Linked DNA regions of Diceros bicornis minor. The protein of the gene in region 4 binds, or shares a complex with, the protein of the main gene of each other region. Links are inferred from orthologs where the notes say so. Each region holds a gene or a part of one and is shown on either strand. Other genes may lie near its edges. The genes, in order: SCNM1, ARMC7, SRRM2 and SRRM1.

Region 1 (7,506 bases), on a different chromosome or scaffold from region 4:
CTTGGGCTTTGGGGTGAGAATCTTGGCGCTAACCCCCAAGGGTTACTGCCAGTTCATCAGGGGATTATTTATACTCTGGGGATCAGCAGGCAGGGAGGTTCAAGTTACTAGGAGGAGGTGGGGGACCTCCCTCCCTTGATGTTTCCCATAATCCTGCCAATGCCTTTAGTCTCTTCTACTTTCACAGGGTACCTAGCCTTGGCCCTGTTTCCAGATGTGGCCAGGCCCCCCAGTGCCTATGCACAACCCTCATGTGGTTCGAAGGAGGAAAGGACTTTGAGTGGAAATGGGGAAGAAGACAACATGAAGGGCAAAGACTTCCTTCTGACAGACTTATTAATAGGGCACTAGGCTGCATGCAGCTGACGCTTGGCATGACTTTGCCAGAGGTGGGGGAGGGGTTAGAAGTATGGGGAGCTGTGTGCATTGCAGGGAAGGATTGGCTGGGCTGAGAATAAACAGATTTGAAATCCTGAAATGGGACAAGGAACTAGACTCGAGGAAAGTTAGGCTCCCAGTGCCCACTGTAGTTTATTTGAATTGAATGGGGAGAGGGGGGTGTCAGTCCAAGGGGATGTCAGGGGGTTCCTCCTCATCAGAGTCAAATTCAACATTCTCATCTTTTACCCATCGACCTCGTCCATCTGGGATCCATCCAGAGCTGGAAATATCAGAGAAAATAGAATTGATCAGGAAAGGAGGTTTAAGAAGTTAGTGAGTATAAGGAAAAACAATCAAAAAGGTCTGAAAAAAGGAAGATCAGAGAGAAACAGAACATCTGAGGAAAGTGATTCTGCATACTCACCTTCGAAGGGTGAGGTAATGGTCCAAGGCTCGTCTTCTCTTGGGGCTCATAGGTGCAGGGGATGAGACAGTTGCTGACTCCTTGGCCTGTAGGCCAGCCCCAGGCTCAAGTTCTCTACTGATCTGCCCACTTTGGAGTTCAACCTCTGGGGGTGGCAAAGGGGAATGGGAGACGGAAGAACGAGGGACTTCTGGTCTGGGTAGAGAAGAATCGAAGTCTGTAAAAGCAGTGGAGGAAAGGGCCAATTCTCCTGTGACTCCCAACCCCTTACAACAGTGCTTCCTAATCTGTGTTCCTCAAGATGTTAATAAGTGTTCTGCATAAAAACGATGTTAGAATCAAATGAATTTAGGAAAGGCTAGGTTAAATTTTTTTTTTTTTAATCTCGAGGCTTTGTAGAGCCCTTAAAATATACAAATATTACTATTCTTCAAGTAGGATTACACAGTGCCATTTCCCAAACTATTTTTTAAAAATTACAAAATTTGGGGCTGGCCCGGTGGCGCAGCGGTTAAGTGCACGCTCTCCACTTCAGCGGCTCCGGGTTCGCAGGTTTGGATCCCAGGCATGGAGCGTTGCACCACTTGTCAAGCCATGCTGTGGTGGCGTCCCATATAAAGTAGAGGAAGATGGGCACGGATGTTAGCCCAGGGCCAATCTTGCCCAGCAAAAAGAGGAGAATTGGCAACAGATGTTAGCTCAGGGCTGGTCTTCTTCACACACACAAAAAAAATTACAAAATTCTCTTTTTCCTGAAATATCAGTTAACATCTCTAGAACCCAAGTATTCCTCAGAATACAATTCAGAAAACAATAATTTTAGAGCCATCTGTTTCCTTCTGCCCCTCCCTACCTTTGGCTTTCCCACCCACAGACCTGTACTTCCGGCGGCTGCAACTGTTATAGTGAGGAGCTCTGTGCAGAGCACTCTGGGTGATAAGTCGAGTCTGGGTTAACAGAGGAGCCTGGTATGGAGATGGGAGACAGAGTCAGAGCCTTCAGAGCTCGAAAGAAGCCCAAACCCTTCAAGCCTAAGGTGTGCAGCAGAGTCCTGCCGGAACACACCCTCCCCTCTCTGATTACCTCAGCTTTGGTCTCTTCTCTCCTCAATTCATTCTGCTGTCTTGGATTCTGCTCCATTCCCTTTCCTGGCTGCTTCTTGCCATAGAAAAGCTGCAGGCCTGAGGGAAAAGGGGAAGAGAATTAAAAACAGAGCACCAAGAGTGGTCTGCAGAGATTCTGAGAGTTTGTTCTCTATCTCCTATATTCCCTCAAACTTACTGGACAGATGTTTCTTGCCTGCACGGTGGGCAGTTAGCATGGCCAAGGTGTCCAGTACAGGTCGGTGGGGACAGATGGCACAAGCAAATCTGGAGAGAAGAAGATAATTGGTCCCAAGGGAGTGGGGTCTCTGCCGTAGGTTCCACCCTGTCCTAGCAGTCCTTTCCAAAGCCCAACACCCAAGTCTCCCAATCTCCACCACCCACATCCCTGGCCCTCACTCGCCGCCAGAGAACCCTAGGTACTCCCGCTCTCCTCTTTAATAACAAAAGTTTATTGAGCCTCTAACCGCAGAACCCTCAGGTTTGATCCACTTCTCGCCCTCACCGTCCATCCCGTAGCATCAGCGCCTCGTCCTCTGGGATATAACTGGCCAGCAGGTCCCCGACTCTTCGTTTCTGCAGGGGATACGGGAAGAAGTCCGGACGGGATCAGTGGGATAAGAGGGAAAGACGAAAGGGAAATGATAGGGACGACGATTCAAACGGAATAAGGATCATGCGGAGAACAGCGATCATAAGCGAGGAAGGGGTCTCTATCCTTCTCTAGACGCCTGGCTCCCTCCCGCGCCCCCCGCCCCAAGCTGTTGTCAGAGCAACAAAACAGCTCCTTCACAGCCTTCAGAAGGCAGCTGAAGCTGCTCCAGATGCTCTCCTCTCGCGCTTACTTTGAGCACATTGAGTTGACTCCAATCGTCCCCTTCCCTCTTGAAAGACATCACAACCGTGAGTCCCAGAAACGATCAATTCTATCGTACCGCTTCCGGCACTCCTTTCAGGCCACCGTAGCAAGAGTGGGGCGTCTCCTTTCCTTCTTGGCTCTTTCCGGTTGGCCTACTTACTTCCGGGGATGAGCTTCCATCATGCTCTGCGCGACCCCGAAAGTCCGCCTCTAGCCTGTCGAGGGGGGCTGCGTCTCGTATGGTGTCTTGCGACCCCGCAGACGCAGTGCCTTTTGGGAAATGAAGTCTTTTTTTCAAAGAGCTTCCTTCCCGGCCGGATCCAGGCCCTTGTATCTTGGCAGGTTCGAGACGTTTGGAGGGACAAGAAATTAGATGTGGAGCTGAATTTGAGGGTGTGATTGATTTGGTGCGGAGCGGGCCTCTGAGAACCTCTGTGGGGAAGTGTACTACAAACTCTCGCAATCATTACGTGCTTCGTCTGCGGCGACAGCCCACCCGGGGTGGGCCTGATTTGTTCCTGACCCTAGCGAACCAACCCCGGGAAGGGGCGGAGCGGGGGTGGGGGTGGTCCAGAGGCCGGGCTGCCCGACTTAGGGCAAACTGAGCGGTGTTGGGGAGGGTGTCTAGAGTTCAAAGGTCAGAGGTCAATGTAGCAAGTTGTGGAGGGTCGAAAGTCGCGGGGGTACTAAGGAAAGACTCAGGTAGGGACTGAATACTCAGGGTACAGACTTGTGGGAAAGGGGCTTGGAGGGAGGAGAAGCGAGGGTGGAGGGGACGCGTAGTGCCGGAGGGAGGCGGGGAGACTTAGGAGAGAAGACAAAAGGGGAAAGGAATCCCCGGGATATCCGTTCCCAGACCCCCGGCCGGTCACTATCGGTCACTTTAGCTGGGCCTCCCGCAGTTGCAACCCCAGCTGTCCGCAGGGTGAGGAGATGGCTTCTCCCTCTAGACAAGCCCCCTTCGGAGGGTCAGGACTGCTTCAAGGGAGCCGGGCTCGTTCTTATGGAAGCCTGGTGCAGTCTGCCTGCTCCCCAGTGAGGGAAAGACGCTTGGAGCATCAGTTGGCGCCCGGAGACACCCTAGCTGGACTAGCACTCAAATACGGGGTGACGGTGAGTCTTCCAGGATTGGAATGTGGACAATCATTCTCTTACAAGAGCTTTATTCCTCAGAATGTAGTAGCTCTTCTAGGCATCTTCTCCTGAAATTTTCCTAGTTGTGTTGTGTTATCTGATCCACTTCTATCTTTTTGTTTGTTTTCCCATCTCAGCGTTTCACTCTCTGGTTGGGACGTATCCTGTCCCACTATCCCAATGGAGAGGAGCAGCTCCTATTTATTATGCCAGTCACTGTACTAGGGGCTTTGCATACTTTAGCCCATTTGATCCTCACATCCCTATCAAGCATGCAATTATTGCCCCCTTTTTACAGATGAAGAAACTGAGACTTAGATTGGTCAACCAATTTGATCAAGGTCAAATAAATAATGAGTGTTATAGAGTGGGAATTCAAACAGATCTGTCTTACTCCAAAGCCTGTGCTATTAACCAATAGAAACTTTTTAATTGAGAGTGATTAACATTTACAGCAGATAATGGAGCGCTGGGTTTTAGTTCTAAGTTCCTAAAGTGTCTCTGTCTTGTTCTTTTTTCCTCCTCAATGCTCTGCCTTCTTTTTTCCAGTTAGGTGGCCTCCTTGATGTAAAACAGGTGCTTTCTACACCAAGCATTTGAGGTCAAGCATAGGGTATTTTTGATAGGTGTAAAAATATATTGCACTAAAGTTGATGAGGGTTTTTTTCCCCCATATCCTGTTGAATTTAGCCAATATTTTTATGCTTGCTGTGTTTAAAGCACTGTGGTAACCATCTTGGGAGGTAGAAACATAAATAAAATGTATAGTTGCTGCCCTCATGTAATTTACAGTCTAGTGAGAAATGGAGAGGGACACAAATAATGATTGTAGGTGACAGCATGTGGTGAGTTTGTAGAGGTATTAACAAAGGGTGATAAATCAGAAAAGAAAATTAATTTTTATTTGGCAGGGGGCGGGGGGTGGACATCAGTGCAAATTTGAAGGGAGCCATCACGATGGGCCTTGAAAGACTTAGAAGTTCCTTCCTCTATGCTCCTCTCTACAAACCTATGTAATCCAGTTGTTTGTACCTTCTAAATCTTTGTCTTTCCAATAGCCTATACTTTCCTTAAGGGACCGAAATATTTCCTTTCAATTTTATATCTCTAGAGTCTGGCATAGTCCCCAGCACATAGAAGCTTAATCGGTGTTTTTTGAATGAATGAAAGTATGGCTAAGATTTCTGCTCATGGAGATTGGGAGTATAGGAAAGTGACCATTTCAAGTAGAGGGCTTGGCCTAAACAAAGGAAGTGGATGTGAAAGTACTGAGCAGCCCCTCCATCCCAGCAGAGGCTCAGAAGCCATGCAAAGAAAGGCACTGTGCTACTAGTGCATTGACAATTGTGGGGTTTCCTTATAGCCCTGTACCCTCCAGTACGGAAGAACTGTAGTATAGTGAAGAAGACTTCCAGGTTCTGACCTCATTCTGCTGCTTACTAGCTGAGGGACTGTGTAAGTCACTTCCCCGTCTGTGCCTCAGTTTCCTCACCATTTGTAAAGTGAGGAAGATGTATTAAATAATGATAATTATCTAAGTTATTACCTACCTGTCATTTAAGGAAGACTTAGAATGTGCCAAGCTCTATACATTATCTCATATTATCTTCATAAGACTTTATGAGGTAGGTGTAAATATTCCCTTTTAAAGATAAGGAAACTGAGGCTTAGGGAGACAGCTTGCCATAGACTACACAATTAGTAGAGCTAGGATTCAGACCAGGTTGTCTCATTCTAAAATCCTCACTTTGATCTGCTCTGTTAAACTAACTAGATTGTAATGGCCTTTCTAGCTCTTAAAGACTGCGGCTCGATCGCCTAGGACTCCTCTGGGCTTTGGCCTTGGCCTTACATCATTTTTAAAAGTGGAATGATGTCCCCTTATAGGGTACTTCTAGGAAATAATAAAAGCAATAGAAAATTCACAGATTAAGTCATAACATCTTGGAGCTAGAAGGCACCTAGGATATTATCTAGGCAAAATAAAATTAATATCATCAAAGCACTTGGCAAAGTAAAAGTGCAAAACTGCAAGCCAATTTTAACTTTTTTTATTGTTTGGATTAATCTGGTTTTATTTTTAAACACATTGTAGCATGAGATTTTATTAGTCAAGTTTATTATAATAGTCTTGCCCCAGGGTGGAAACAGCTCTGATATTTGACAGATATAAGAAATATGGTTTCCCAAACTGGTGCCAATATGGGATGAATCTTGAGTAAAACTGGCTGCCTGGCCTCTGATAATGAAATACTGATATACTATATCTGTGGTTTCTGTATTTTATTATCTAGTTTCTTTATTCATAAAGCATTAATGAGCCTCTGCTGTGTGCCAAGTTTGTACGATGCTGAGGAGCACCTTAGGGATACAAAGACAGCAAGTCACCATCCCTGCCCTTAAAGGACTCACAGCGTTTGGGCAAGACAAATATGCAAAGAGGTGAATAACAATGTAATAGGGTAGGTATGATTACAGCAATATTTACAGTATGCATTGGGAGCCCTGAAGAAGGTAACACAAAGGGAGTGGTAGTTGATGAGTAGAAGTTTTCCAGGCTGAGAAGGGGATAGTGGAGAAGCATTTCAGGCAGATAAAGACACAGAAGTGTGAAGATCATGTAATGTTCAAAGAAAAACGAAAAGTGCAGGATGGCAAAATGTATACATAGCAGAAGAAGAGAGATACAGCTAGACATCCCATGGGGGCTAGATTGAGGATGCCCTTGAATGCTAATTTAGATTTTATCTCTGAGCCAGTGGGGAGCCGTAGGACGTTTATAAGCAGGGTACTTGGTTGATCAGATTAATTTTTTTAGAAAGATAGATGTCGACAGGGTGGAATCTGAGTAGAAATGAAGAGAGGAAGACCAGTTAAAAAGCTTGGCAATACCCAGATGAGAAGTATTAAGAATCTGTTCTAAGGTGATGGCAGTAGATGTGCAGATGAGCGCAGATGTGAGAGAGATTTTTGCAGCATTTTTTTTTGACCACTTGGGAATGGGTGGTGAAATAAAAGTATGAGTTAAGGATGACGTTGATATTTCTACCTTGTGAGGCAGGTCAGTAGATGGTGATGCCAGTCACTGTGTTCAATGATGAATAAGTAGGTACTGAATAAATATTTGATCAGTGAAATTATTAATATTTTAGTGTGAAAAGCATTTCCAGGGGCCGGCCCCGTGGCTTAGCGGTTAAGTGCGTGCGCTCCGCTGCTGGCGGCCCGGGGTTCGGATCCCGGGCGGGCACCGACGCACTGCTTCTCTGGCCGTGCTGAGGCCGCATCCCACATGCAGCAATTGGAAGGATGTGCAGCTGTGACATACAACTATCTACTGGGGCTGTGGGGGAAAAATAAATAAATAAATAAAATTAAAAAAAAAAAAAAAAGAAAAGCATTTCCAGAAGGAGTAAAAAGGTCCAGAATTCTAGTTCTAGCTCTGTCATTAACTTGCTAGATAATCTTAGGCAAGTAACTTAACCTCTCTGAGCCTCAATTCCTTCATCTTTAATAGAAGTTCTCAAAGTGAGGTCCAGGGATCCCTACGGGTCCCTGATACTCTTCAGGGATCCACAAGGTCAAAAGTATTTTTATAGTGATAATAA
Region 2 (7,822 bases), on a different chromosome or scaffold from region 4:
GGATGTCCACACACGTGTGTGAGAAGAGAAGGTAGGCCAACGCCCATTTGTACTCTAGCCCCAGATATCACAAACACAGGGGCAGACCTGGATGGTCTTTCAAAAACTTAAATTACACTTACCTATGATGTATTCAGCAAAAAAAAAAAAAAAAAAAGTGTTGCTTGATTCTACCAAGGCCTTCAATCTAATTTCTAGGTTACAGGAAATAAACGGGAAGGGGATAGAGGAACAAACCAAATAAAGCCCAAGAGAGGCAACCAGACAATTCAGAAGGTGGGACATTTTGCAGAACTGAAGAACTAACCTGGATCCTTCCACAATTAGTGATATTAAAAAAAGAGTCTGGCCTGGCCCCGTGGCTTAGCAGTTAAGTGTGCGCGCTCCGCTGCTGGCGGCCTGGGTTCGATCCCTGGCACGCACCGACGCACCCCTTCTCCGGCCATGCTGAGACCGTGTCCCACATACGGTAACTGGAAGGATGTGCAACTATGACACGCAACTGTCTACTGGGGCTTTGGGGGGAAAAAAAATAAATAAAATTATAAAAAAAATAAAAATAAAAATAAAAAATAAAAAATAAAAAAAGTCTATTAATGATTAAAAGAGATATAAGATAATTTACGTAGTGACTTCCTTCCAAAGAACACAATATGGAAAGGGTGGGGAGAGTAATTTACAGCGGAGAAACCTGACAAATACTACCTCAGCCAGGGGATCAAGGTCATCATCAACAGTGATAAGTCATATTGACAGCATGTACTCTTGATATGATGCGACGAGGCTGGCATTTTACCTGGGTCACCCTCCCCAAACCCATAATGCAGCCTGATCATGAGAAAAACATCAGACAAATCCCAATTGAGGGATAATCTACAAAATTCCTGACGAGTACTCCTCAAAACTGTCAAGGTCATCAAAAAAAAGGAAAAGTCTAAGAAACCGACACAGCCCAGAGGAGCCTAAGGAGACGTGACAACTAAATGTAATGTAGTATGAATGGGATCCTGGAACAGTAAAAGGACATTAGGGAAAAACTAAGGAAATCTGAATAAAGTATGGACTTGAGTTAATAATAATGTAGAGTTAATAATAATTTATCAATATTGGTTTATTAATTGTAACAAATGTGCCACACTAAGATGTTAATAAGAGGGGAAACTGGGTATGGCACATAGAGGAACTCTCTGTATTATCTTTGCAATTTTCCTAAAACTGTTCTAAAATAAAAGTTTATTTAAAAAGAGCGAGAGATAAAGATCTAAGGAATATAACCAGATGAAATGCATGGATCCCAGATTGGATCCCGGCTTACACAAACAAACAAAATGTCCTTTTGGGAACTATTAGAGAAATTCACATAACTGTGTATTAGGTAATAATGGAATTATTAAAGGTAGGTTTCTTTCCCTACATGAATAAGATTCCTTTCACTATGTAGAGAAATGTTATTTTTAAAACATGCATGCTGAAAAAAGAATTTTTGTTTGCCCTCAGAATAAATTTCAAACTCTTTCCCATGGCCTACCTCTAAGCCCCTGTAAGCTCTGGTGCCAATGACCTCTCGAACCTCATTTTCTACCACTCCCCGCTTCACTCACCACAATCCTGCCACTCCAGCCTTCTGGCTCCTCCTGCTGTAGGGTTTTCCCTAAATGCCTTCCCATGATGGCCCAAACAGAAGTAGTCCCCAGCTCCGACTGCTCTGTCTCATCACCCTGTTTATTTCCTTCAGAGCCTCAGCTTTTTTTTTTTGTTTGCTCACCATCTGTCTCCCCTACTAGAATGGAAGCTCCTTGAGAGCAAAGACCTTTGCCCAACTTGTTCACCATCTCACCAGCATTTAGAACAGTACCTTGCTCATACAGTACATGCCCAATAAATATCTGTCCAGTGAATAATTCAACAGGTCTTAGACCATAAGAACTACACGAACCATAAGCTACACATTCCAAGTTACCTCTGCTGTTCTTGATAGTAAAACATTAAAATAAAGATGTTTGAAGGATCACTTTTTAAACTTTTTTCCCTCCAACTGGCTTCAATCCATTCCCTCCTTTATGACTTCATCTCTAAGCAGGAGGGAAGGCAGACAGGCAGAGGGAGTCCTGGGCGTGAGTTCCAGACCTGACTCAAGCTAGCTGTGACCTGGACGATGCGTGAACCGCGGAGGCGGCACAGACATCGCGAAGGTCTGCCTTGGCAGCTGAGGGACTGCCTAAGAGATTCCTTTCCCAACGACTCACTTCTCACTCACTTACCTCACCACAGCCCATCAGGCATCTGGGGGCCCAGCCCCATCCTTACCAATAGCAAACTCCACCAGGGTCTCATTCTCCTCCGACAGCGAATCGAGGAATAAATCAAGGACCTGCAGCTGCCGCAGATACTGGTAATTGCTGGGATCATAGGCGAAATTGGCGAGGTTGGCCAGGACTTGTTCCTTGGCGTCTGCAGCGGAAAAGCAGAACTGGAGCCAGGTCCCGGGCGGCGGCCGCGGCCAGACCCCCGCCCCGTCCCGACCCCATCCTGCCGCTCTCACCTGGGCTCTCCGTCTCCTGGAATTCCGTGACCAGCGCCTGCAGGTACCCCAGGCGCCCAACGTGGGGGTCTACCTTCGGCTTCTGGGCCATGGTCGGGGAGGCGGAGGACCTCCAGCGCACAGGCAGGAGAGTGTGGGAGGTGAGGCCGGAAAAGCCGGGAGAGAACCTGTCCGGGCCTCTACCGATAAGGGTAAGGGCGGACCGGGGCGCGAAATATCTTCCTTTTCTGGGTTCAGGTTATGCAGTAATTTGCAGGTGGAATTGGGATGAGGAGGATGGGGTGGGGCCTCAGGATCTTGTAAGAGTTGGGCGTGAAAAATCTAAATTGCGGCGTGAAAGACAAGGACTGCGCTGTGCGCTGGAAGAGGTAGTCGCGGTACGCAGCACTCCTCCGCTGGGCTTGATTTTCAGCTCGATTCCGGGCTTCCGGTGGAAGGCACGCTTACCTCCGCTCCAGAGGGCGGAAGGGGCGGGCTGAAGCGGGCGAAGGGCGGGGCCTGTGCTGAGCTCGGCGCGCGTGCGCGTTCCGCTTCTCGCCTTACTGCCGGGGTCGCGGCGAAGGGCGTTGGAGAGTTATGTATGCATTGATGAGCACCTCTAGGGTCCTTGGGAGCTCAGAGGCGGCGGAGGGTGTACATGTGGGGGGCTGTCGAGGCAGAAGCATCTCCAGACCCCCTTGCACCTGAGGAGAAGACGCAGCTCAGCCTCCTCGACCAAGGGACGCGGGCTCGGCTCCCTGCGCCCCCAAGATGGGTCCTTTGACACTACCTCTTGCTCGGCTTTTGCAAAAACCGTCTGCTCCGCAGCCCCGAGCTGAGTCCGCCACCTCTGGCCAGAAGTCTCCGGAACTGGGTTTGTCAGCCAGGTGGACGGGGAGCGCTGGGGCAGCACCAACGGGCCGTAGGAACCTCAGTTCACCCAAATGCACCGCTTTAGCGGCTTTCTGGGTTGTGCAGCCTTGAATGCTGAAGCCCTTCAGCCTAATTCTTTCTCGGGCCTCTCAGGAAGATGGTGTGTGACCGAGACCCTGTAGGCACAGGGAATAGAGCACCAGGGAGAGAGGTGGCCCTGCTGCACTCCAACCATGCTTGAAAATGTAGGGGTTAAAGGGGCTTGGGCTGTGAGCTTCTTGAGGGCAAGGCCCATGTACCTTTGTTCCTGGGCCTGGCATGAGGGCAGAGTGGCTGCCACACTCCAGCCTCCACAGGCCCCACCTCTGTGGGCTTAGGTCCCTGTGGTCAGCCCCTGCTCTATGCATGCCCCCTGGGGCAGGAGTTATGACCATAGTCTGGGTGCTTGGGTACTGTGGCTGCTCCATGGGGGTGGTGGCCCCAGGCCCCTCGCCAGGCCCTTCAGCTTCTTTGGGGAACTGATGTGACCTAGGGAAGTACATCTTAGCCCAAGGTATCAGGGGGCTTCTCTGCCTTTGGCTGGACAGAGCAGCGAAGGCCTGGGGACCAGGAGCTCAGGGCTTGGGGACAGGATGGCAGTGAGCTCCACCCTGTGCTGCTCAGGAACTGCTCCAGACCCTCTCTAGGGGATTTCCGGGAAATCAGCTAAGTGTGGGTTCTGGCATCAGATGGGTCACCCTATCCTCCCTTATTTGTTCCTTGCCAAGGCCTCAGAGGCCCTCCTTGGGGAATAATTCTCAGTCCCTGGTTTTGTGCTGAGGGCAGCAACCAGGTCTTACTCCTCTCTGCCCAGTCCCTAGCACACAGTAGATGCCCAATAAATATTTGTTGAAGGAATTCTGCCCAGAGATTATTGCCACTCTTGCCCGAGGGCAGATGAGCTCAAAGTCCCCTATGCTGAATGTTCACTGATATCTTTTTTCCTTAAAAGAAATTTTTTTTAAGGATAGGGGCCTATTAGAGGATGCACATTTCAAAGCCAGATGGCTGCTAGCACTGGAAGCATTCACCTACCCACCAGCCCCAACTCCTTCCTCTTCCACTCAATTAAGATAGGTGAGACAAGACCTGGTAAAATGTGTCCCAGCATTCCCCCTCCAGTGCACAAGCTGTGGCTGGTGGCCAAGCGCAGGACTGGGTGGGGAGCAGGAAGGCAATGGGGGTCAGACTTTTCAAACTGGAAGAGACTTGTGCTTATCCAGGCCAACCTCCTCCTTTCTGAAAGCCCAGAGATGGTGAACAATTTGCCCAAAGTCCTAGAGCAAATTGTGGCAGAGCCAAACATGAACTGAGGTCTATCCCACCCCAGAGCCCTTTGCTTCACCTCTGCACTACCATCTTTCGCCATAAGGGGGCACTCATGACAGGGTCCTGGAGAAGACAGGACATCCCCAAGGATGCTTACTCATCCCAGTTGGAGCCGGGTCATGAAAATAAAATCAATTCTCCTGATAAGGTTTTCTTGTTGGAGCCTGGCTGAGCTTGAATCAACAAATAAGGTTCTGGGTGAGTGCAGCCCTTGCTGAGCTGGGAGAACTGAAGGGGGAGGGGGAAACTTACTCCAGGCCTGTTTTCCAGCTTCATTAGTTCACAGGGTTTATATAACCTGCTGCAGAAAACATTTTTGTGTGTAATTCAAACAAACTCTGTTTTTCTATTCCCTCTGTTGGTACCCTGCTGGGACAAGCCTGGGCTGATGACAGCCAGCCCCCAGGTGATGAGCTCAGGGAAGGGCACCAGGAAAAACAGTGTGTGTGTGTTGGCGGGGGTGGGGGGGTGGGGTGGGGGGGGTGGTTCTGACCTCCAGGCCACATGCATAGGCCAACAGGGAGCAGGGGTGGACTGACAGCTGTCCCAGCCAGCTACTTACCCCAGGGATGACACCTCTGACATAGGAGGGAGAAGAGAAGGGCAGGAGAGGGGAGTGGAAGGGCTTTTGTTGCAAAAAGCAGCTCCATTTTCACAGAGGTCCTTGGGCCCTGCCCAGCAATCCTGCCCCTCCCCTGGTCAGTCAAATGTCTAGCTTCCCCCAACCCTGGCACTAATCTTCCCAGCCAAGATAGAGGGTGGGGCAGAGGGAGGGAGACCCTGAAGCAGACCTTGCTGAGTGTGCAGGGGGACCTCTCAGACTTCACTGATTCTAGGACCCAATGCTCTCCTCCAGTTCTTTGCACAGACACCAGGACAGGCACTCTACCCAAAGATTTAATCTGTCCAAACCCTAGCCTGGCCCTCCACCGCTGCAGGCCACAACTCCTTCTTTCACAAGGCCCTTCTTCCCAAGGTTCCAGTCAACGTGGGGCACAGCAACCTGTTCTGGAGGCAGTTCTAAGGGCAAGGGCCGGGTCGCTTGGGAAGAGGGGGACAGAAGGGCCTCAGAGGACGGGTGAGTTCTTTGGAACTGTCTGGAGGCCGGAGAAGGACAAAGAGATCACATCAGAGGCATCCGGGCTGGACTAGGAGGTCCAGTGTGTTGAGCTGTAGCAGCAGTAGTGGGCAGCCAGCTGAGCTGACCTGGCCATGACAGACGGGAGCAGGGCTCAGCCCCAACTTCCTGGGCCCCAGGTACTCTGGTACCAAGGATAAAACTCAGGAGGACCCGCTCCTGGATTCTGCTAGTTGCAAGGAACCCTGAGTCTTCGGAGGCCAGCCTCCAAGGTTCCAGCTCCTGGCTGAGTCCCAACGTGCAAAGCCTGGATCGCCTTTGGTTCAGGCTTCCTGGGGGCAGCTCTCACCCCAGCTCCTGGCAAGGCAGCTGGACATCCCATTCCTGGGCTGAGGCAGTGGTCACTCACTGACCTCAGGGCTCAGATGCTGGTCACACATGTGATCCCAGGGCTCAGAGGCTGGTCACATACATGATTTCAGTGTACACCTGCTTCTTGGAACCATCTGTGCCTTCCACGGTGAGGGTCTGCTCCAGCGCAGCCTCCGTGATGGCTCCTTCCCCCTCGGCCTGCCTGCCCTGCCTCTCTTTCTTCCGCAGGGCACAGAAGCTACCACCCATGAAGAGGGCGCCTGAGATGAGGAAGAAGCTTGACATGTAGAAAACATAGCTGAAGTTGTTGTCAGAGATGTCCAGGAAGAACCCTGGGGGACAGACAGCAAGTTAGGCCACTGCCTGGGGCTACTAGCCCCCTCACCACTACACTGTGCTCTGCTAGAGCAGGGATTTTATTTTTGTCTCTGCTGTATCCCTAGTACTAGGAATTGTGGCTGGGACCTAGTAGGCTCTCAATAGATAATTTGTTGAATGAAAGGAGAGGAAACACTAACCCTGCTCTGGCCCAGGCTGGAAGAGTTCTCGGGCTGGAAGAACACTGAAGGGCATGTCTCCCTCACCCTTGGTGGCAGGAAACCAAGGACACAAGGGCCAGTGGAGTCTGGGGTATCTGCTCAGTCATGCACTGGGCCCACCCCAACCTCCTCCTGCATAGCACTCACAGTGTGCCAGGCTCTCCAAGCTCTTTACTGTGTAACTTGCAGTCCTCACAGCAAGCCTACCAGGTAGATTCTATGACCATCCCCACTTTGCTGATACGAAAACATAGGTACAAAGAGGAGGAGGAAGGACTCAGGTAAGTCTGGTACCAAAGACCCTTATTTGTAACTGTTCATACCCTGAGCACCAGTTGGGGGACAGGCAGTAGCCAGTCCCCTGGGGTGCTTGGGAAAATCAGAAATTCCAAGTCTACCTCTGGGATGCTGGATGGGGCCCAAATCTATCCAGACCGTTTCCCTTTGTCCCACCCCCATAGCCTGCCCACCCAGGCCACACCCACGCACACCCAACTGCCCTCCCTCCCAGGGCCTCACCAGCCAGTGGTGGGGCGATGAGGATGGAGATGCTCTCCAGGACAGTGAAGAGGCCCAGGGCCCTGGAGAACTGATCCATGGGGACAATGTCCATGAGGACCTGGAAGAGGAGGGCACCAATGCCACTCATGGACACGCTGTACACCAGGCAGTAGCCCACCAGCACCCGGAAGTCAGCCGACACTGTGCACACCAGGTTGGTGAGCCCGTTGAGCAGGGCTGCCAGGCTGAACAGGTACTTGCGGTGGCCAGCAAAGTCCCGCCGGCCTGCCATCAGCCCAGCCATGGGCCGTAGAAAGATGTTGCTAAAGCCGATGATGGAGATGAGCAGGGCTGCCCGGTGCTCGTCCACCCCATGCCGTATGGCGTATGGCACCAGGAAGATATGCGGCAGCGGGAAACCCACGATCATCCACACGACACCTAGCGTGTACACACGGTAGCCTGTGTTGTGCCGCAAGATGTCGAAGGCCAGGTGGCGCTGTATGGCCCGGCTACACGCTGCCGGGCAGCCGGGCGCAGGTGTCTTGGAAGGTGGAGGGAGGCCTTTTC
Region 3 (6,880 bases), on a different chromosome or scaffold from region 4:
GGATAGTGGTGATGGCTGCACAACACTGTGAATGTACTTAATGCCACTGTACACTTAAAAATAGTTAAAATGGTAAATTTATGTTAAGTACATTTCATTACAAAATACTACACTGAAATAACATTGCTCGCCATAACTCAGCAGGTTAGCAAAAACTGAAAAGTATAGCAACCCACTCTGTTGGCAAGGCTGGGAAAGCAGGTCCTCTCACATTTTGCTAGTGGGAATGCAAATTGGTGTAAGTCTTACTGAGAGGAGCCTGCCATTACTAGCAGGACTACGTGTCTTTACCTTTTGCCCCAGCAATCCCACTTCTAGGAGTTTACCTTGAAGATACACCCCCAACAATATGAAAATACACATGCTCTAGGTTACTCACAGCAGCATGGTTTGTAATTACAAAATATGAGAAACAACTTAGACGCTCACACATAAAAGAGTGGCTGAATACAAGTCCACGGACACATCTCTGTGCGCTGCTGTGGAGCGATTTCCAGGATACGTAGCGAAGTGAGAAAAGGAAAGTGGGAAAGAGTGATTATAGTGTGCTCCTGTGTGAAAAAAGGAGGGCAATTAAGAAAATGTACATTTGCCTCCTCCCTTGAGCAACAAGACACCTCGGAAGAAAAAGCAGAGAGGGTGAGGCTGATACCAGAAGGTAGAGGGCAGGAGTCGCACAGAGAGGAGAGAGGGAGCGGAGGGGTAGACACCGCTCTGAATACACCTTCTCTTACAGACCTGCCTTTTGGAATCCTGTAACTGTTTCACATATTTGAAAAAAGTAACTAAAATCTCAAGGATGGGAGGAAAAAAATCCTAAAGTTTAACACAAACACAAACAAATGAACCAAAGCATATTTCAAATGAATAACACACATAACATAACACAAATAACATAAACACACTCAAGGGTGAGAAAAAAATAAAACCAACTACCTCAAGCAACTTTTGAATATAGCATTTAGAGCATATGCCCTCAGGCTAAAGACAAAAACCTCTAAACAAATATTGACCTATAACAGGTAGGCTTTTTTCTTTTTTGCAGATGCATGGATGAACAATTCTGAAGCTACTTTTTGGAATTCTAGGATGGAGCACATAAATGAATATACTGAGGAAATGGAAGCCAAGTTCCTCATGGTTGGAGGATGGCGTTACAAATAAAGAGAGGGGAAAGGATAGAATGAACCCTGTACCCTTAGATTCGAATTGGAGATATAACTCATGGATGTATATATCTCATCCATTTCCCAGCTCTATCGTCCAAGAAGGCCTATAAGTAATGATGTTACAGTGACTATAAGTCTACCCACTACCCAGATCTTGGTTTCTAAATACATTTGCTCTAGATCCTTTTTTTTTTTTAATAATTTTATTTATTTTTTTCCCCCCAAAGCACCAGTAGATAGTTGTATGTCATAGCTGCACATCCTTCTAGTTGCTGTATGTGGGACACAGCCTCAGCATGGCCGGAGAAGCAGTGCGTCGGTGCACAACCCGGAATCCGAACCCGGGCCGCCAGCATCAGAGCCTGGGCACTTAACCGCTAAGCCACGGGGCCCGCCCACTAGATCCTTTTTTTTTTTTTTTTTTTTTTTGTGAGGAGATCAGCCCTGTGTTAACATCCGCCAATCCTCCTCTTTTTTTGCCGAGGAAGACGGCCCTGGGCTAACATCTGTGCCCATCTTCCTCCACTTTATATGGGACGCCGCCACAGCATGGCTTGCCAAAGCAGTGTGTCAGTGCGCGCCCGGGATCCGAACCAGTGAACCCCGGGCCGCCGCAGCGGAGCGCGCGCACCCAACCTCTTGCGCCACCGGGCCGGCCCCTAGATCCTTTTTTTAACTATTAAGGGTAGACTAGAAATTTTACAACAGAGAAACCTGGTCGACCCCATCTTTACCAAAGTCAACTTGGTAGAAACGGAACTATTGGGCAGCATACATCTCTTCACAATATGCACAGAGAACACAGCATCACCTCCATGGTCTTCCTGCCAAAAGTGAATAACCTGAATCTAAACACGACGAAACATCAGATAAACCCAAATTGAGGGACACTGTACAAAATAAATGGCCTGTAACCTTCAGAAATGGCAATGTCATGAATTACAAAGAATTAGGAACTGTTCTAGATTGAGTCTAAAAAAGACATGATAAGAATGCAACGCATGATTTTGAATTTTCTTTTCCTATAAAGGATATTATCAGAACTGATGACATCTCAAAAGGGTCTGTAGATCACAGTACTGTTTCAATGCTACTTTCCTGATTTTGAAAGCTGCTGTGGCAATGTGAGGAAATTCATTGTTCTCCCCATAGAAAAAGGAGAATAACACCTACCCCACGGAGTTGCCGCGAGCATTAAATGCGCTGACTCACCTACAGAATTTAGCACAAAATATTCAGTAGACATAGGGAAGAATATCAGTGGGAATTAGGTTACAGGAAGAGGCCTCAGTGGTGGCGGTGGGTTTTAAGAAACCAGCACCCCACACCCTGACCCTCAGAAATAGCAGGTCCGGCCCAGAAAGACCGAGGCTTTGCCATAAGAGTCTCCAGAGGTGCGTCCAGCTCCTGGAAGGGGTACCCAAAGGTGCCCCAGTTCACGGAGGCAAGACGGGAACCATCCCCTGGGCAGTGCAGGCTCAAGTTTCTGCTCCTCCACAGAACGGCGGGTCCCCGCTTCTAGCCCCTGAAGTGAGTTCATCCTCCCGCGGGCAGGTGAAGAAAACTTTGTCATATCAAATACAGCCCCTCAACCTCACACGGACCACAGATCGCCACGTGTCCCCCGTGTGCGGGGTCCTGTGGACAGTGCGCGCCCTCCAGACACAGGCGGCTGAGCCAGTCCACGTCGGCCGGCCAGGGGGGGCATCAGGCCAAGACTCGGGCCTGAGCAGCCCAGCTTCTTCCAGCTCTGCTCTCAGGGAGACAGGCTGGTTCTCGGGCTCCACAAAACGCACTTAAAAACACTAACAGGGGACATTCTGCAGGGGGAGTGAAAAATTCAAGGGTGTTTGTAATGTATTCCTCCCGCCACGGGTAACACGTCCCAGATTCTGCAGGAGGAAATCGCGTCGCTGCCGGGCCGCCTTACCCGGAGGTCATAGAAAATTATCCCCCAGGGCAGCCGCCCGGTCAGCACCGTCCGCGTGGAAGCTGCAACCACCACGGCAGGCTGGCTCGGCCTTTGCCTCAGGCCCTGGGCCTGAAGCTGGGATCTGAGGTTCCGGGGGTGCCCGCTGGCTGGGGTCTGAGGGGCCTTCTCCGGGTGCGGAAGGCCGAGGGCGGCGCGGCCGCGGGCTCGCCCCGTGGAGGCCCGCGGTCACACGGAAGCAGTAGCTCCCCTGTTCGCGGGCCATCGCCTCCCAACATGGGAAGACAAAATGGCGGCCGCGCCCCGGGGTAAGGGGGGGGTGGTGGCCGCAGCTACATACGGGTTCCGTGCCACGCTAGAACTACAACTCCCAGAATGGTTTGGGTCGAAGGCGGGAGGCTCATGTGCGCTCTGGCGTCACTCGATGTGGCGCGAGGCTCTGTGTCCTCTCCCCCCAGCGGAAACCCTCCGGAATACGTTGTCTACTCTGGTCCACTACCCAGCCCTTCCTCGCACTGGCCGACGGGACTTGTAGTTCTTCGTCAACGAAGTTGAACCTCCTTCCCTCCTTAAGAAACTACACTTCCCGGTGTAGCCTCGGCGCCTGCGCACAAGACCACGGGGCGTACTACGGTTCCCGGCGGGCCCTGCGATGCGCGCGGCTGCGTGCTGACGCGCTTAGTTGGTCGTGCTGACGTGCAGCGCTGCTCAGGCGGGGTGCGAGTGGCGCAGTCGGAGCCCGCTGCGGCCCCTGAGGAGGCTAGGAGACGTCGGTGTCGGCTGAGGCGGTCGGACCGGCGAGGCTAGGCGGCGGCTCCAGGCCCCGAGGGAGTCAGGAGCTCGAGCGGCGGCAGCAGCAGCGGCAGCACCTCTCCCCTCGGAGGCGGCGGGCGGAGGCGGCGGGTGAGAGGGTGAGGGAGCGCGAGAGCCGGGTGGGGGAGGGGCGGCGGCCCCGGCTCCAGGCCAAAGCGAGCGGAGAACGGCCCAGGCCGCCGCGCGCACGCGCACTCACCGCCCTTAGCTCGCGCTCGCTTGCCTGCCTCCCCTCCCCCTCTCCGCTTTCCTGTGGCGCGCGGGGTTTTACTCTTCTTCCCCTCCCCCATGGCAACGGCGCGCGCCGCCGACTGCGCTCCGGCTCGCGCGCTCTCGGTAGGGAGCGGGGAGCGCGCGGCTCGGCTCCTCGCTCTCTGACGCGTGCGGCCGAAGAGGCCATCCGGCAGCTGCCCTTTCCGACATTTTTCTCGGCGGGGAGAGGGTGGTGGCGGGCGCCTGCTCCTGGGTCATTTCCCCCGCGCCTTTCGTGTTTGGCTTCGTCTCCTTTTTGGGGCCTGAGGCCCGGCCCGGAGCCTCCCAGACGACGGGGCACCGCGCAGCCCCCTCCCCCATCCCACGAGGCCGAAAATAGGCCTTGGCGGCCCGGCCAGTGCCGAGAAGGCCTATGAACTAGATGGCCCGGAGATTTAGAGAGTTCGGACTCGTTACTGTTCGCAGTGAAGTATTAGGGAGAGCAAAGCCCCAAACCCTGAAAAAAACACGATTACGTAGTCAGTCTGGGTATGTAAGGGCAGACCATGTGCTCCTTTTTTCCTGGAGCTTTTTCGTTATCTTCTTCAAAGTTGTGTTAAAGCGAGGCAGGAGGCTGTTGGAGCCCGTCCTTGGGAAGAAAACCCTGGACTCTGTTTCACGCGTTATTTGGCACACAGCTCTTCTGAGCCTTGGTTTCCACTCACACTTATCTAAGTAAGACGTCTTCTGCACCAAAAATTCAAAGAGTATATTGTTGTCTGCTCTCAAGTGTGTGTGGGCTTAGGTCTCTTCCTGAGCTAATATTAGCTTTCTGGGTTCCCTAGTGCCCACTCAGCTGCTACCGTGCCCAGTGCTGAGCTTGCTGTGCTTACCTATGTCTGTTTTCCTGCACACCCCCCTCCTTCCTTTTTGGTGCATTTCTTTTGTTCAGTAGCTTAATGTTGAATTTCATGATTTCTTTCTAATTAGTTTGACATCGTGATAATTTTCCAACACAAAAAATTGTATGTTTCTTACTTTTACTTTTTGCTTGTAGTTTGGGTAATTTGTGCGTGCTCAGTTTGCGGACCCCAGTTTAAGAATCCCTGTCTCATAAAGTTAACCTGCTTTTGGTGATTAGTGTGTGTGTTGGTCCGTCCTTCCTCTTCCGCTTAGTGTTTTGGGCACTGCCTTAGATACTGTTTTTTTTCTTTTTTTTGGCTCATTCCCTAAATGTTCTCCAGTTCGTTGGGACTTAATATTTTTTGCTTAGCAGCTACTGATTTTCCCTCCCTAGGGAGTGGGAGGATTTTCGTGTGAGGTGGTATGGAAGTGTGGGTGAATGATTAAAATGTAGAATTAATTGTGGGTCAGAAGCATTCAACAAGGGAAGCTGAAATTAGGTGGGGTATAGAGAGGCAAAGAAGGACCTAGGTTTAGAATGGGGAGGATTGGTATTTGAGAAAATGAAAGTGAGGCTTGGAAGATAGAGAAATTGATTTCTTGTGCTATAAAGAAGTTTTTTGTTTTTTCATGCATTTCTAGTCGGCCTTTCCTAGATTTAGCCTTATTTGTCACACCTTTACCTTGGTATGATTATCTTTCTTTTCAGTTCTCTCCTGAGTCTGCTACTGGGATGCGGGGGGTGAGGGGGTGGGTCCAAACTGTTTTGGAGTTGAACTGTCAGCTGTCTCCCTTCCATATACGCACACACAGAGAGGTATTGGCTTTAGTGCTATTTTTCCATGTATTTGTATGATGTTTCTTTATTCTGGAATTTTTAAAGTGTAGCCTTCTCTTTTATCCATTTCTATCTTTTTTTCTCTCTGCCTTCTCTAATCTCTCCACTTTATTCCTTGAGTTTTTTCCTGGGGTAGTTTTCCCTCGCACATTTATGCTCTGTGAAACTATCGTGGACAGGATGAGTTGGAGAAAGAAATAGAGTATGTATAGCCAAGAAATCTACCCAGAAAAGCTGAGACTTCAGGGCTCTTCAGTGTCGTGCTGGGGTTGAGAGGATAGAACCTGGTGGGAGGCATGGAGATAAAGTGAGAGGGATATGGCAGGGCTAGAAAAGAAAAACTAGGAAGTGAGATACAGGGGACTCTTAGGGAAAGCCAACAGTTTAACATTAATGAAAGTGAGGTAAAAAGAATGGGGGTTTTCTGAATAAGTTTAGGGCAAGGAATGTAGAAAAGGTATGGGAATAGTTGGAACAGAGGCTGGTTTGGTGTGTTTGGAGCATTGAGTTGAAAACAGGTAATATTTAACAGGAGCTAGTGAGACTTGGTTGAGCTGCAAATCATGTGCGAAATTCTATTGGGAAGGAAATTGAAGGAATATGATATCAGTCAGGATAGTTGATATGAGCTATAAATATTTGGAACCAAGGAAATGGCTTCTTACCTGAGAGTGAAGTATAAGAGCGTTAGGTATCCAAGGTTCATGTGTGTTTCTGATGTTCATGCTGGCCTTTAGTTTGGATGTGAGGCTGCACAGAACACTTGAGTTTATCTTAAGAACCAATTAGTCAACCTGTTTGGGTATTTAGGGGCTGTTTAGTCAGTTTGTATTCATAACAGGGTAGTCTGAAATCCTTAGGGTAGTTCTTGGAAGAGCCTTTGGGCTTGGACTGCAGGCCCTTGGGTGCCACATATGTTTGTTTGGTGTTTGTTGTGTGCCCTGTTTGGAGGCCTCAGTCAGTTGCCAGAGGTTAGGAATTAGAGTAGTTGGTGAAGACACCACTTGTGCATATTGGGGCCAAAGGAGAATAAAG
Region 4 (7,357 bases):
TGTTCCCTGCAGGAAGAGAAATACATTTTAATTAAGAGTTCAAAGTTAAATTCCTACTTTTTATCAGCTACTGATGGCTATGACCTTTACAGTCGAAATAGGGTAATCAAGTAAATAGAAACACCATAGCTAATATTCATAGGTACAGAATGTATACTCTCTTCCCAATGCAGCTGATATTTTGAAAACTGTATTTAAAAATTACAAAATACATGCTCATTGTAACAAGTCAAACAATATAGCAGCATACAACATAATGCTAACACCTCCCCCACAACCAAGTTTGATGTGCATCTTTCTATACCTTTTTCTAGGCTAATGGAGATTTAAGGCTGTTTGGTTTAAATGAGAACACACTGGGGCCAGCACAGCCGTTGAAGTTCACCCATTCCACTTCAGCGGCCCTGGGTTTACTGGTTCGGATCCTGGGCGTGGACCCCCGCACTGCTTATCAGGCCATGCTAAGGTGGGGTCCCATATAGAAGAGCTACAACTCTACACTATAGTACACAACTGTGCATTGGGGCTTTGGGGAGAAAAGGGAAAAAAGAGGAAGACTGGCAACAGATGTTAGCGCAGGGCCAATCTTCCTCAATAAAAATTGCTTAAAAAAATAAACGAGAACATGTTGTAATATTTACTACGCTTAACATATGCCTTCAAACAAGACCGTTAAGTTTCATCCTCTTCTGAAAGCCAGTAGCATGTTTGCAAAATTATTGTGGCAATGCATATAAGGGGAAAAAGGAAAAAACTCCCTAGGCCTGTGCTGTGTTTAGTTTTCCACAACTTTAAGAACTTGAAATGCATGAAAAATATAGGTTTACCTTCATAAAATCAATTTCAGCGAAAAATTTGGAAAAATAAGAACTTACAAATACTACATTAGACCATCAAGTGATCACTAGTCTACATTTTGTCATTCCTACTGGCCCAATTAAACCTGGAAATAACTAGCCATCTGATACAAAATCTACTGATTGGTTCACTGAGTTGGTCACTGTCCCTTGGAAAGTGATCAAGAAAATTTTGTTCGGGAAGGTAAAGGACCTGGATAAGAATCTCAACTCTGCCACTACTTAAGCCATATGACCTCAAAGCAAGTTACTTAACCTCTCTGAGGATGTTTCTTTAGTTGCAGGAGTGTGTATATCAGAAATGATACATGTAAAGTCACTGGCATGTGGCAGATTTCAACAAATGCAATCCATCACTTCTAATCTATCATTTCTATCTTAACCGAAAATGTCAGTTTACTACCCTGGCTGGCACTGTACTAAAAAGATAACTACCCTAAAATCTTTTACCTCGAAGCTTACATCCAGTCAACTCATCTAAGGAATTATAGGCGGTATATAAAAAACTGCATCCTTTTCTTTCAGACTTTTACCAACACCAAAAGCAAACTTCATTTTTAAATTTATCAACCACCTTGCTCTTTTTCTACCGGAACTCCTTTCCATGGGAAACAACCAAAAAAATCACAGGCTTTTGTTTCAAATTATTACATTCAGACCCCAGGAAATATTGAGTATTTACTACAAAATACTTTGATGGAAATTACAAAATGGAGTGTTCATCCGCAGTGTGATAATTTGATAAGCTCTCTCAACTGAAACTATCATTACATAAATAACTACAATACTGTTTGCATAACCTAAGAACCGTCAAATAACTGGCTGTTTTAAGTCAACTATGGGAATAACATTCCAACTTTTGATGAAAAACTAATTGGCACACTGAAAGCCAATTAAAGAGGAATTTCAACGCCAGCTTTGGAGTGTCAAGAGATATCTTAACCAAGTCCTGGTGTTCCCCTCTTCCACTTTTCCTTTAAACACACACGTACAAACTGCATAATATGCTCCGGGGAATGGAAAGAGACAACCCTACCCTACATAAAGCATACATTTTGACTTGGACCCACTGGTCTCTATGTGGTCCGTTGTGCTTTAAGAGAATCTGCAAAGTCTAGTCCTGTTAGTGCCACTTCGCACCCGTCCAGATCTCGACTGGGTGCTCATTTCCTAAAAGACGAGACAAACAGGCGCCAGCACGAGCCTGATACTCTGGCCCCTGAGGACCAACTACGCGCGGCGAGGTAACTTCCCCGCCTGCAGGTGATGGGCGAGCAGCCCGGCAGAACCTAGGTAAGAGGCACGTTTTCTCCAGCGGACTTCAAGAGTTTAAAAAAAAGAAAGAAAGAAGGGGGGGAGGGAGCGAGCGGGAAGGAGAGGAGGCGATCACCCTGTACCCTGCCTCCGCACACGCGCACACTTTTGTTGCGCCCTCTGCCCTCAGTCCCCGATTCAAACGTTCCAACTACGTATCATCTGAGTTCCCCTCCCCGCAGGGTATTAAATTGGGCGGGAGCTCTCGCGAACTCTGACCCCGCGCCTTCGCGAAGGCTCAGGACCAGGGGGAGGCCGGCGGGGGAGGGGGGTCGGGGCCCGCTTTCTCAAGAAAAGACGCCCGACGCTGTTTCCTGTGCTCTACCACGCTCTCCCGGGGCGGCACCCCCAAACCGTGCCCAGGGCCTCCCGCCGCCAGTCACCTCCGGGCTGCCCCGCGGCCTCCCCCCCGGACTTCCTCCTCGCGGCTCCGCTAGGCCCGGGACTCGGCGGCGCGCGCGGCTCGGCGTGCAGGCCCCGCCAGGCCGGCGGACGGCGAGGGGCCCCTCCGGCCCATTCCCGCCGCCATTTTCCGGCGACCGTCGCCGCCGCGTAGGGGGGACGATCCCGGAGGAGGAGACTGCGCAGGGGCGCACCGGTCTCGCCGCAGGGCAGGGGGGCGTCCGCGGGCGCCGAGGATCCTCAGGCTCTTCGAAGCCTCCCCTCGCTGCCCGCTCCGTCCCAAGTCTGAGCCTCCTGCCAGGCCTCGCCAGTAAGTGCCTCACCTCACCCCAGGTCCCCGCGCTTCTACTTACGCGGAAGAATCCCGCGTCCATCTTGCTGCCTCGCTCGGAGATCGCTCCCTGTCCCAGGGTGCACCGCGCCGCCGCGACGGAGGGCGGGACCGGCAGGGAAAGCCGAGCGCCGGGACGCAGCGCGCGCCGCTCCGCCCGCCCCTCCAGCCGACACGAGGCCGCGCCTGCTCAGTGTGGTGCGCGCCCGCCACGCGTGCGCACGCGCGCCCAGATGGCGGGCAGCTGCCGGGCTCCGAGGCTCCGCAGTAGCCAGTCCGGGAGGAGAGCCTCGCGACCGCAGCCAATGGGAGCAAGAGAGAGAGTCGTCGGGGCGCCCCGCCCTGCGAATCCTTTTGTGGCGCTGGACCAGCCCTGTTCGCGCAGCGTGACTTGAGCCCTCCTTCGACCCGTAGTGGAGGAGGCCTCCCGCCCTGGGGGTTCCGTGGAGCGATTGAGGAGAAAGGCTGTTACCTCAGAGTGACGCTGGGGAGGCGGCCGGTGCGCAGAAGAGAAGCCTGCGGCCTCCGCTGTCATTGCGAAAATTGTGATTGTGTTGGTTTTACGAGTTTACCGGTTATTACGATCGGCTCTAAAGTAGAGCGGTGCAGTCTCAGTGAAATCTGCGTTCCGGCCCAGTTTCCCCCCATCCCCACACAACTCGGTCGTGTTCGGGAGAAGCTGGAAATGCCCATTAGAAGAGTTTCGGTTTCGGCTGCCTGGCAACCGCGCTAACGGGCGGGAAGCCGATGAGCGGGCCCCCCGCAGGGCTCTGCGGGAGAAGCAGCGAGCCGCCCCGCGGCGTGGCCTCGGCCCCCTCAGCCCTGCCCTGTCGGGGGGCCTCCAGCGCGGGAGGATGGCGCCAGATTCCCGCCGAGCGCCTTCTTTCTCAGAGAAAGCCTGTGTCCCTTCCGTGGCCGTCTTTTGTCAAGTGCCCGCCCACACAAACACTCGTCCCCCGTTCCTGCCTTTTCTTCAGGACAGTCATCACACCTGAAACTACATTTGTTCTCTCTCGTGCCTTTAGATACCGACTCTGCTGACGACTGCCCTCTCTCTTCAGCTCGGACTTCTCGCCCCAACTTCAAACTCGTAGAGTGTGGATAGACACCCCAAACTTGACATGACCAGGAACTGAACTGGTTCCTCCCTACCCTGGTCTCACCGCCGCCCACCCCCGGATGCGACCTGCTCCTCCCGAAGCCTCCCCTGCCTCAGTTGATGGCGGTATCTTTCCTTTTGTTGAGGACACAAGCCTTGGTGTTACTCTTGACTCCTCTTTCTCTTACTTCTAAGCCATCGGGAAACCCACTGCTAGAACCCCGGTTCAAGGCACCGTCATCTTTTGTCTGAACTTCTGCGCTGGCCTCTTCGCCGTCTGCCTGCTTCTACCCTTGCCACTCAGCGTCTATCCTAAATGCAGCAGAGGGATCTTACTAGAAAACCTTAGACCTGTCGCTCCTAAGCTCAAAACCTTCTAATAGTCCCTCCTTGTTCTCAGAGCAAAAGCCAAAATCCTACCCGATGCCCCCACGTTTCTTCCTTGATCTCGTCTCCTAGTACCCTAACACTGCTCACTGCTTCAACTTCCTAGGCTTGCTCCTGCCTCAAGACTTTGGTGCTGCTGGTAACTTCTGCCTGGAATGCTCTACCCCGAGATATCTATTTGGCAAATTTCAAGTTTTTACTCAAATGTCACCTACTCCATGAGGCCTACCCTGACTGCCCTTTAGGAAATTGCTCACACACCCTTTCTATATCTCAGATGCCTCTTAATCTACCCTCTTTTTTTCTGTCGCATTTATCGCCAAATATTTGTTTATCTATTTTTTTTAAAGATTTTATTTATTTATTTTTCCCCCCAAAACCACAGTTGATAGTTGTATGTCATAGTTGCACATCTTCTAGTTGCTGTATGTGGGATGCGGCCTCAGCATGGCCAGAGAAGCGGTGCATCGGTGCGCACCCGGGATTGGAACCGGGCCGCCAGCAGCGGAGCGCGTGCTCTCAACCGCTAAGCCACAGGGCCAGCCCTGTTTATCTATTTTTAATGTTTGTTTATTATCTGTTCCCCACACTAGAATTTAAGCTCGCGAAAGTCAGGGCTTTCTGTCTTTTTTTGTTAACTGGTGTGTCCCTAACACCTAGAACAGTGTCTGGCCCATAGTGTAGGCTCAGTAAAATTTGCTGAATGAAAGCTTTGTCAGAGGTCAAAGTTAGGGGAAGTGGCTGGCTTCTATAGAACAACTATGAAATCACAGTGCCCCACATCTCACTGACTGTTCTCTATGATTCTGATCGGTTGTTCTGTTTTATACTTCCTTCACTGTCTCTGCTCTTTTGCTGCCAATTTTGTAAATGCTGGTTTTCCTTGAGGTTCTGTCATTGACCCTTGGTTTCAATTATCTTTTCATCTCCCAAACCTGTATATCTCAGGCACAAGTCTGCCCCAGACCTAATATTTTCAACTTCCTGCTGACATTCACTTGCATATCCTGAGCCTTCAGTGAGTCGTAACCTTTTTGCTGGTGGAGGGTCTTGCCTTGATGTTGCTGGCTGCTGACCCATCAGAGTGGTGGTTGCTGAAGATTGGGGCAGCTGCGGCAATTTCTTAAAATAAGGCAACAATGAAGTTTGCCACATCGACTGACTCATCCTTTCACAAATGATTTCTCTGTAGCACGCAATGCTGTTTGATAGCATTTTACCCATAGTGGAACATCTTTCAAAATTAGAATCAATCCTCTCAAACCCTGCTGCTGCTTTTTCAACTAAGTTTATATAATATTCTAAATCTTTTATTGTGATTTCAACAGTCTTCACAGCGTCTTCATCAGGAGAAGATCTCATCTCCAGAAATTACTTTCTTTGCTCATCCATGAGAAGCAACTCCTCATCCATTAAAGTTTTATCATGAGATTACAGCAATTCAGTCACATCTTCAGGCTCCACCTCTAATTCTAGTTCTCTTGCTGTTTCCACCACATCTGCAGTTAGTTCCTCCACTGAAGTCTTGAACCCCTCAAAGTCATCCATGAGGGTTGGAATCAACTTCTTCCAAACTCCTGGTAATATTGTTATTTTGACTTTTTCTCATGAATCACAGATGTTCTTAATGGCATCTAGAATGGTGAATCCTTTCCAGAAGGTTTTCAATTTACTTTGCTCAGATTCATCAGAGGAATCACTATCTATGGCAGCTAAAACCTTGTGAAATGTATTTCTTAAATAATAAGACTTGAAAGTTGAAATTACCCCTTGATCCATGGGCTGCAGAGTGGATGTTGTGTTAGCAGGTATGAAAACAACGTTAATCTCATTGTACATCTCCATCAGAGCTCTTGGGTGACCAGGTGCATTGTCAATGATCAGTAATATTTTGAAAGGAATCTTTTCTGAGCAATAGCTCTCAACATTAGGCTTAAAATATTCAGTAAACCGTGTTGAAAACAGATGTGCTGACATCCAGCCTTCATAGTTCCATTTATAGAGCACAGACAGAGTAGATTTAACATAATTCTTAAGGGCCCTAGGATTTTCAGAATGGTAAATGAACATTGACTTCAGCTTAAAGTCACCAGCTGCATTAGCCCCTAACAAGAGAGTCAGCCAGGGGCCGGCCCAGTGGTGTAGTGGTTAAGTTCGCACACTCCACTTTGGTGGCCTGGGGTTCACAGGTTTGGATCCCAGGTGTGGACCTATGCACTGCTCATCAAGCTATGCTGTGGCAGGGGTCCTACATAAAATAGGGGAAGATAGGCACAGATGTTAGCTCAGGACCTAGCTTCCTCAGCAAAAAGAGGAGGATTAACAACAGATGTTAGCTCAGGGCTAATCTTCCTCACCAAAAAAAAAAAAAAGAGAGAGAGAGAGAGAGTCAGCCTGTCTTTCGAAGCTTTGAAGCCAGGCATTGATTTTTCCTCTCTAGCTATGAAAGTCCTAGATGTCATCATCTTCGAATATAAGGCTATTTTGTCTACATTGAAAATCTATTGTTTAGTGTAGACATCTTCATTAATTATCTTAGCTAGATATTCCGGATAACTTACTGCAGTTTCTACGTCAGCACTTCCTGCTTCACCTTGCACTTTTATGTTATGGAGATGGCTTCTTTTCTTAAACCTCATGAACCAAGTTCTGCCAGCTTCAAACTTTTCTTCTGCAGCTTCCTCACCTCTCTCAGCCTTCATAGAATTGAAGAGAGTTAGGGCCTTGCTCTGGATTAGTCTTTGGCTTAAAGGAATGTTGTGGCTGGTGTGATCATCTATCCAGATCACTAAAACTTTCTCCATATCAACCATACGGCTGTTTTGCTTTCTTATCATTCATGTGTTCACTGGAGTAATTTCCTTCAAGAACTTTTCCTTTGCATTCACAACTTGGCTAACTGGCTCAAGAGGCCTAGCTTTTGGCCTGTCTCAGCTTTTGACACGCCTTACTCACTAATAATCATTT

What was found.
Region 1: SRRM1 (region 4) and SCNM1 share a complex: the UniProt entries of both Homo sapiens proteins name them as parts of the minor spliceosome. The link is inferred for Diceros bicornis minor from reciprocal best matches to the Homo sapiens genes SRRM1 and SCNM1.
Region 2: SRRM1 (region 4) and ARMC7 share a complex: the UniProt entries of both Homo sapiens proteins name them as parts of the minor spliceosome. The link is inferred for Diceros bicornis minor from reciprocal best matches to the Homo sapiens genes SRRM1 and ARMC7.
Region 3: SRRM1 (region 4) and SRRM2 share a complex: the UniProt entries of both Homo sapiens proteins name them as parts of the minor spliceosome. The link is inferred for Diceros bicornis minor from reciprocal best matches to the Homo sapiens genes SRRM1 and SRRM2.

The regions. Positions count from the first base shown.
Region 1 is NC_080743.1:55,452,032-55,459,537, reverse strand, and holds SCNM1 (sodium channel modifier 1), read right to left. Parts: upstream 2,844-7,506; 5' UTR 2,805-2,843; coding exon 2,754-2,804; intron 2,485-2,753; coding exon 2,414-2,484; intron 2,176-2,413; coding exon 2,087-2,175; intron 1,987-2,086; coding exon 1,889-1,986; intron 1,771-1,888; coding exon 1,682-1,770; intron 1,001-1,681; coding exon 806-1,000; intron 662-805; coding exon 562-661; 3' UTR 502-561; downstream 1-501. Other genes in the region: LYSMD1 (lysM and putative peptidoglycan-binding domain-containing protein 1), read left to right, coding at 3,701-3,880. UniProt on the Homo sapiens protein: As a component of the minor spliceosome, involved in the splicing of U12-type introns in pre-mRNAs. Plays a role in the regulation of primary cilia length and Hedgehog signaling.
Region 2 is NC_080757.1:55,646,522-55,654,343, reverse strand, and holds the start of ARMC7 (armadillo repeat-containing protein 7), read right to left. Parts: upstream 3,005-7,822; 5' UTR 2,634-3,004; coding exon 2,543-2,633; intron 2,452-2,542; coding exon 2,308-2,451; coding exon of another isoform or gene 2,276-2,307; exon of another isoform or gene 2,262-2,275; intron 1-2,261. Other genes in the region: SLC16A5 (monocarboxylate transporter 6), read right to left, coding at 6,294-6,544, 7,271-7,822. UniProt on the Homo sapiens protein: As a component of the minor spliceosome, involved in the splicing of U12-type introns in pre-mRNAs.
Region 3 is NC_080765.1:45,635,224-45,642,103, forward strand, and holds the start of SRRM2 (serine/arginine repetitive matrix protein 2), read left to right. Parts: upstream 1-3,870; 5' UTR 3,871-4,010; intron 4,011-6,880. UniProt on the Homo sapiens protein: Required for pre-mRNA splicing as component of the spliceosome. As a component of the minor spliceosome, involved in the splicing of U12-type introns in pre-mRNAs.
Region 4 is NC_080752.1:40,889,024-40,896,380, reverse strand, and holds the start of SRRM1 (serine/arginine repetitive matrix protein 1), read right to left. Parts: upstream 3,014-7,357; 5' UTR 2,948-3,013; coding exon 2,927-2,947; intron 2,610-2,926; exon of another isoform or gene 2,555-2,609; intron 7-2,554; coding exon 1-6. UniProt on the Homo sapiens protein: Part of pre- and post-splicing multiprotein mRNP complexes. As a component of the minor spliceosome, involved in the splicing of U12-type introns in pre-mRNAs. Involved in numerous pre-mRNA processing events.